Linked DNA regions of Rattus norvegicus. The protein of the gene in region 1 interacts with the protein of each later gene in a pairwise test. Links are inferred from orthologs where the notes say so. Each region holds a gene or a part of one and is shown in the gene's direction. Other genes may lie near its edges.

Region 1 (3,818 bases):
CAGTGCCTGCTGCTTTTAGACACCGTGGCTTTGTCTGCTAGAGAATTTCAGTGTCAGGAACCTAAAGAAACCTAGTAAATGAGGGTAGCCGCAGGATAGCGTGCACTTCAGATGAGAAGCTTTTCAGGTTATGATGAATTTACCTAGAGCACAGACTTTAAACTCAGAATAGGGCAGAAATCCAAAGTAGCTGCTTATAAACCATGGAGGGTCCACTGTCGCTGTGCTTCACATTCACAGTGCTGAAATGTCTTCCAACTGCTTCCAAGTAAGTCACAATGGAAGGAACTACTTGAGCAGTATCAAAATCCTTAAACTCGCTTATTTAATTGGGAAAAGCCACTGATTTCTACATCCAGGCTCATGTGCAGTGTTTCATTTTGAATGTAGTTTCAGTTTCTGTGTATTATTTATTACATTTGAAGAAATTCAGTAGGTGGGGAATCTATAAGGAAAAAGACAAATACTGGCTTTGAGAAGGGACTTTTTGCAATTTAAAAGTATTGCCCACTTTATCAGTAAGAACCTGTTTCCCTAAGAATGAGGCTCGATTTCCACACGTGTGCTGGGAGAGCCAGCGGTGGGTGCTGAGGATGAGGATTCACAGAGAAGCTTCTCTTCTGCCTTCTGTCTCAGGCTCCTCCAGTGGGAGAAAGTCTGGGTGTGGTCCAGGAGGGAGCAGCAGCAGGGCTTAGTGATTTCTTCTTAACCATTTCCTTCCCAGCATAGCCCCAAGGTTCTCTTCTTTCTCTTCCCTTCCTTCCCTTCTAATCATCTCTTGTCTGTCTAGTTTCTGTTCTAGAACTTGTTTCCTCTGCCCTCCATTGCTGCCGCAGAGCATTAACGCTAACAGCACAACCGAGGCTCCTGGCTGCCTGGCTGCTGTGTGACAGTAATGCATGCCCTGCATGTCACTCTTTGCCTTCTTTTCCCAAAGGAGCAGTGGGAGCAGCACAGATGGGCGGGATCCTGAAGAGAGGGTGCCTCTGTGTACTTAGCATGCCCAAGCCGGCAGAGCCCCATTGACGCTGCAGCCCACTGGTAACTGCAGCAGTGCGGTTGTCAACACCTCAGGATGCCCACAGATAGCCTTTAGCAGGCCTCCAGGAGGTGGGGCAGTGTTTGAGGCCAGTGCACACAGTTGCCCTGAGTTCAAAGGGTAGAAGCTTCCTCATGTCATGTGTCTCTTTGTTTCTGCTCTTCTAGAATCCCACCATCCCTATTCAGAAGCTACAGGACATCCAGAGAGCAATGGAGCTGCTCTCTGCATGCCAAGGCCCAGCCAGGAACATTGATGAGGCCACAAAACGCAGATACCAGTTCTGGGACACACAGCCAGTGCCCAAATTGAGTAAGCTCATGTGTGTGTTTCTACAAGTCAGGGTGAAGAAGCTTCAGTCTTGTGTCAGACACGCAAAATTCACACAAAAGCTAGTATCTGTCTTCTTAAAATACGTATATATAGTAGGTAGGGACATTGATTTTCAATACCATTGATTGTAGCCTAATTGCTGTTTCTGATACATTATCCAGTTTTCCCATACTTGAGATGTGTATTATATGTTTATATTTATTTATATATACATATTTATATATATTACAATTTCCTATTAAACATTCCTGTGTATGTGTGTAGTATAATATGTAACACATTATATAGTAAAGAATATGCTATACATGATATACAGCATATATATACTAAACAGAAGAGAAATGAGTTTTTTTTCTCTTCATTCTTATTCTTTGCTTCTGAGCTTCATGAAGTTGGGGTTTTGGGTTTTTTTCCCCTATATGTTGTATTTTTAAGATTTTTGTATTTTCATTAAATGCAAATGACTTTTTGCTTGCATGAATATATTGTATGCTTGATGTCCACAGAAGCCTGAAGAAGTCAGAGGATTCCCTGAAACTATAGTTAAAATTTTTGAGGGGGCTGGAGAGATGGCTTGAGCTGTTAAGCACTGACTCTCTTCCAGAGGTCCTGAGTTTAATTCCCAGCAACCACATGGTGGCTCACAGTCATCTGTGATGGGATCTGATGCCCTCTTGTGGCATGCAGACATACATGCAGATACATTTTTTTTAAAGTTTTAAAGTACCATGTTGATGCTAAGAACCAAACTTGTTCCTCTGCTAGAGCAGTAAGTGTTTTTAACCACTGAGCCTTTGCTCGTGCACGCGCGCGCACGCACGCACACACACACACACACACACACACACCACCTCCCACTACATTATTTTTTAGCATTTTCCATGCCTCAGGTATTCTAAACAATTCAGAAAAGAACTTTCCTATAATAGTCCACTAAGTGGATAATTGCATACTCATCAGGATTCTGAACACACTCTAGTGACGTATCAATTATGTCACATTATATGGGAGTTACCCCAATTATATGGGAGTCAGAGTCCCCTTTGAAAGTGAAGGCTCTTTTGGACTCTGCTCATGTAAAGATCTGTGAAAGGGTCTTTTTCCTAGGACCTACTCCAACACATTCCACTTAAGACTTCTCCCAGTTAACTTCCTACAGACATAACTGTTTCATTCCCACTGTGCATAGGTGATGCAGCTGTCGTGAAAGTGTTCCAGTTGCATGACGGTACACGCCCTGCTTCGACTCAGTTCTGTGCCTATTCACGATTGGGTTATTTAGATTCCAAACAGCATAGAGGGTCACTTGCCACCTAAAACTCTGAAGCGCCTAGTAGCATGCGGATAATCATTTTGTCATTGTAAGTCAGGGAGTCATGTTTTTCTGAGCGTTGACGGATCAGTTATATGCGTCCCAATCCTTTCCCACGCATAGCTGCCCCCCAGCTTGAAAAGAGTAAGACGATGTAGGAGAGGGAGGAGGAAGAGTGGAGGGCTGGGAGCATATGCTTCAGTGTAAAGAGTAAGACGATGTAGGAGAGGGAGGAGGAAGAGTGGAGGGCTGGGAGCATAGGGTTCAGTGTAAAGAGTAAGACGATGTAGGAGAGGGAGGAGGAAGAGTGGAGGGCTGGGAGCATAGGGTTCAGTGTAAAGCAGTGGCTCAGAGCGGGTGAAGCCCCAGAGTCATCCCTTGCACCAGAGGGGACAGTACGCTTTTTTTCTTTCAACTTCTAGAAATGTGTCTGCTAATGAAGGAATATTTTTTAGAATAAGTTACAGAGTCTTTAATTAGATGCTGAATTATGAGTATTAGCTGAAGGATCTAGATTTAATGGTTTTGGTGAACTACGTTTACCTGGATGCGGTTCATCAAGATGCCTTCTGCCCTCCAGAGGAGAAGGTGCCTAACCCTCAGGCCTTCTTTCAGGAAGGATTGCCTGGGACTCATCCTGCTTTTCCCCTTGCCCCAATTCTTCAAGGTTCTTGGAATGCTGGAGCTCTTGGTGCACTTCAGTTCAACCAGAGGCAATATCTAGTAATAGAACCTTGTTGTTAGGGCAAGGGAGGCCTGCAGACAAGCACATGTAGAGTCATCACTAGTTCTATCTGTCTGAGGGTTGCACAGTAAGAGCCAAGCCTTAGACTTCATGGGGACCCTGCCGGGGGTTGGGCCACATGAACTTTCCTGAGGATACCTGAGGAACTGATACGAGTCGTGCACTTCTCATAGGATTCTGTGACCCTGAGGACTAGGCCTGAGGGTGCTTACTCAGCAGATGGTGAATGGCAGACACAGCATGGGGCACAGGTCAAGAAATGTTGATGGGAGATGGACAAAGGCAGAAGGGTAGATCAGGTGGCCATGCAGAGCAGCTTAGATATCTTTTCCAGGAAAAGCTTTAGTTGTTGAAAGATGCTGAGAGGAAATGACTTGTGAGCTTGAGAA
Region 2 (4,301 bases), on another chromosome or scaffold:
AGTTAGGGTTTCCATTGCTCTGAAGAGACACCACGACCACAACTCTTGTAAAGAAAGCATTTTATTGGGGCTGGCTTACAGTTTCAGAGGTTTAGTCCATTTTCATCATAGTGGAAGCATGGCAGCAAGCTGGCAGTCATTGTCCTGGAGAGGCAGCTGAGGGGTCTACTTCTCAGATCTACAGGGATCTGGAAGAGTGAGCCACTGGGCTTGGGTTGGGCTTTTGAAACCCCAAAGCCTATCCCCAATCATATATTTCTTCCAACGAGGACCCACTTCCTAATCCTTCACAAGTAGTACCACTTCCTGCTGATGAAGCATTTGACTATATGAGCCTATTGGGGCCACTCTATTTCAAACCACCGCACTCATCTTAAAGATGAATAACAGCTTATTCTGGAGTCACTTTGAGTGACCACAAATTTAGGTTACCCCAAATCCATCATTTCAATGTGGAAACAGTTTCATGGATTTACAGAACAAAGAAAGTCATAAATTAAAGCAAGCTAAAAATACATTGGTAGGTAACATAGAAGCAGTAACGTTGAGATGGGGAAAACTTTTCTATAAGCCCAAGAAGATAGTTGATGACATTCTTAGCTTTTGGGTCGGTGGAAGCTACCACCACCACCACCACCATAACCACCACCACCACCACCATCACTACTAGCATTACTAGTAGCACTACTAGCAGTAACACGCGTGCGCGTGCGCGCGCGCGCGCACACACACACACACACACACACACACACACACACACACACACACACGTTGATGTGAGACACCTCAACAACTGAGAGCCGTTTCTTCAAGCAACATCCCACGTTGAGGTTCTCAAGACCCTCCCTGCAGGAGAGAACACTAAAAGGTGTTTTTTCTAAAAACTGATAGTAAATGTACGCGGTCGATGGGTGGATATAATGAAGTTTGTGTATGCGTATAGTTTTTCTTTTTGACAGTGTGCTGGCTGTGGAAAGACCTGTCCCTTTGCGACAGAGCTACAGGATTTCTGGGTTTCACTTCAAGAAGTACAGCCGCAGCAGAGATGAGGTGATGCTAAAGGAAGGTGGTTCGAGGGGCCTGGGGAAGCCTTCTCTTAAAACGGGAAATGAGGGGTCAGCAGGTATGGAAAACAAAACACTGATGGGAGTCATTTGACCATTTAGACACACGGTGGGGGCAGTGAAGGAAGGTTCCAGCAGTTGTTGATTCGCTATTCAAAACAGTGAGTGGTTAGGAAAAGGCGGAACCTTTGTCTTCCGCTCTCTGTTTCCCGCGACTCCACTCCTGCAGCTACACTGCCTAATGGACCGCCTCCTTCCCTTTCCCCGGGGGGCCTATCTGGGTGAGTTCCGGAGTTTGTGACTCCAAATTTCCACCAAATCACGAGCGACCTCCCCTAACATTGAGGCCGACCCGCACTGCGCCCGCCTAATCCACGACTGCCTTCTCGGGAGTGCGCGGGCTCGCGGAGCAGGCGAGGTCCCGTATCCACGGGCACGTGCCCGGGCGCGCGTCCCGCGGAGCTCGTTCCCAGCTTCACCTCCCAGCTCTGGTCCCAGTAGCTCGCCGCGCGCCGCCGGCTTCCCCTCACCTCCCAGCCGAGCGGCCTCTAGACCCCGCGCCGTTGGAGCGACCTGGGCGAAGCCAGGCGCTCGGTCCGCCCGAGGGGAAAGGGGAGAAGGACTGGGCGGTCCTGTGCGCCCGGGTAGGCGGAGTGGCAGAATCACCTGAGACCACCAGACAGCTAGCTGCTTCCCACTCCTGCTCGAGCTTCTCACCCGGACTAGTGGTCCAGGCCCGGGAACCCGCGTCACACCGGAGAGGACTGATCACAGCGAGCTAGTGGACATGGCAACACCATTTCTACCCGCGGGGGCCACCACGGGCGACAGCGGTGGGGAACTGAGCTCCGGGGACGACTCCGGTGACTTGGAATCCTTCCAGACCCCTGAGGCCGAGGCGACCCGGAGCCTGGCGGAGCTGTTTGAGAAGGCTGCCGCACATGTTCAAGGCCTGGTTCAGGTGGCCAGCAGGGAGCAGCTCCTGTACCTGTATGCCAGGTACAAGCAGGTAAAGATGGGTGGATAAGAGGACACGGGCTTTTCCTCCAAAAACTTAATAGTAGATGTGCGTGGCTAACGTTCGAGCGTGATGAAGTTTGTATATGTGCTTCGATTTATTTATTTGTTTATTTTTGACCCTGGAGAATAGCATCATTCCGGACGTGGAAAAAAAAATCTCTCTGCTGTCCTGCGAATGATATTTATATAGCCGGGCACCGAATAACAGTGTTTCAGTGGCCTTGCCTCTGAACCTTTACAAAATGAGGATGAGAAAATAAAATTTGTCATTCGCTGTTGCCAACTGGACATGTGGTAGGAACTATGGTAATGCTAATAATAAATTTGGAATTTAAGGGAGTATTACTATATATAAAATGCGAAATACAATATTACTATTGTGATTCTTAGAAACTGTAAATGTAGTTGCCGTGTTTTTAGCTGAATTTGATCCTGCTAGATACAGTCCCTACACTTTTTTTTTTTTTTAAATTAAGGGCTCCATGCAGGCAACATGGAGGGCTGGTGATGAACTCTCGACTCAGCATCCTGAATCGCTTTCATTTCCAAATAAAAGACCCAGGGGAGTAGGCCACTTAGAAAGTTACATGGATATACCGGAATTAAAGTGCAGTTTTTGACTCTAAAACTGAACTTTACCTGAAAGTAAGGAAATGTATGAGTTATAAACGGAAGACTGATTTATCTTGCAAGGTTAGGTACCACAAGGAAAGACTGTTGCTTCCCCTTAGTCAACAGAAACAGCTCAGCAGAACACTGGGTGTTCTGTCTACAGAGAATTCGAGGATGAAAGAACATGATGACACCGCCTTTAAGAAGCTAACAGGATTAGTTAAGGAGTCTAGATGTAAATGTGAAAAAAAAAATCAATGGTTAGGAAATTAGGAAACCCCCAGCTCTTTAGAACTTTGAAAGAAATGAAGTTATGGATAGTAGCCTCTTTTATTTTATTAAATTAAAAAATGCTTCTTGATAGAGTTACATATATTTCTTCTGAACTCTTGTCTTTTTTTTTTAGGTAGTCGTGAGGACCCTCCAGTATTTCTAATTACATTTTGTATTGGGTGTGTGTGTGTGTGTCTGTGTGTCTGTGTGTGCGTGTGTGTGCATGTGTGCACTCGGGTGACAGTGTAGGTCAGAGGACAACTTGCAGGAGTTGGCTCTTTCCTTTCAGTGAGTTGACCCCAGGGTTTCAACTTGGGTTGTCAGGCTTGCTAGCAAGCACGGTTTACACGCTGAGCATCTTGCTGTATTCTTAAACCTGAGATACTGGGTAGAGATGAGCCTTCTTTAGAGGACTGATGGTTATTATGAACACATGCTAATAGTGATGTGGCCTGAGAGGCCCCTGTACAAGGGGTAGCCAGCATCTTGTGTGATGCCAGGTGTGCTGGTGCATGCTCTTGTTCCCAGCACCTTGGGGAGGGAAAGGTGGGTTCTCTCCAAGACAGCAGGTTGCAGGTTAGTTGGAACAACACGGTAAGCCTGTCTCAAAACAAGCAAAAAGTCGTGTAATGGAAAGAATACACAAGCACTTCTGCTACATACCTGGTTATATTGGTTATTTTGAGGAAATTGAGGACAATCAGATATAATTGAATTACAAAGTCAACTATGTTCTTTTTCCTTGGGACTTCGTTTTTACTTAACCAAAACTTTATGGACTCCTTTTAGATGTGGGTGTTTGGCAGATAGTTTCTTGAAGATGAAGTGAACCTGGAAGACAGCTGTAAACGTTTGTTGCCAGTGACTATATTTGAGCTGTCCAAGGAAAAGTAGAGGTTTGGGGAACATGGAGTCTACCATCATGAGCTTGACAGCTCCCCAACGCTCACAGAGTACTTTCATGAGATACGTGTTGGTGATAATGAATGGGAAGTTTCAGTAATGTCTAATGCAGTATGTCAACATTTGGAAATGTCGACTGACGCTGAGCTGTTATCTCTGTATTTCATAAGATAATGTTAAAAGTCAGTGTGAGCAGAAGTCCCATTCAACATGAAAATCAGACAGGTGGTTTTCACTACAACTGTGTAAAAGACCCACAGTGCATTCAGATTCTGCATCATAACTGGTCTTGGGGAAACTAATATTTATTGAGTTTGGGTGTAATATCAGAGAATATCCACAGTTCCTGGGAGTGCTATAAAAATAATTTCTAACACTATATGTGCGATTGAAATTGCTTTATGGCCTCCATCCAAACCAACATACAGA

Evidence for each region.
Region 2: the proteins of Nmt2 (region 1) and Acbd6 interact in binary tests that used the Homo sapiens proteins (3 or more experiments, as listed by UniProt). The link is inferred for Rattus norvegicus from reciprocal best matches to the Homo sapiens genes NMT2 and ACBD6.

What each region holds. Positions count from the first base shown.
Region 1 is NC_086035.1:79,842,706-79,846,523, reverse strand, and holds part of Nmt2 (glycylpeptide N-tetradecanoyltransferase 2), read left to right. Parts: intron 1-1,206; coding exon 1,207-1,351; intron 1,352-3,818.
Region 2 is NC_086031.1:70,275,725-70,280,025, forward strand, and holds the start of Acbd6 (acyl-CoA-binding domain-containing protein 6), read left to right. Parts: upstream 1-1,352; 5' UTR 1,353-1,851; coding exon 1,852-2,073; intron 2,074-4,301. UniProt on the Homo sapiens protein: Binds long-chain acyl-coenzyme A molecules with a strong preference for unsaturated C18:1-CoA, lower affinity for unsaturated C20:4-CoA, and very weak affinity for saturated C16:0-CoA. Does not bind fatty acids. Plays a role in protein N-myristoylation.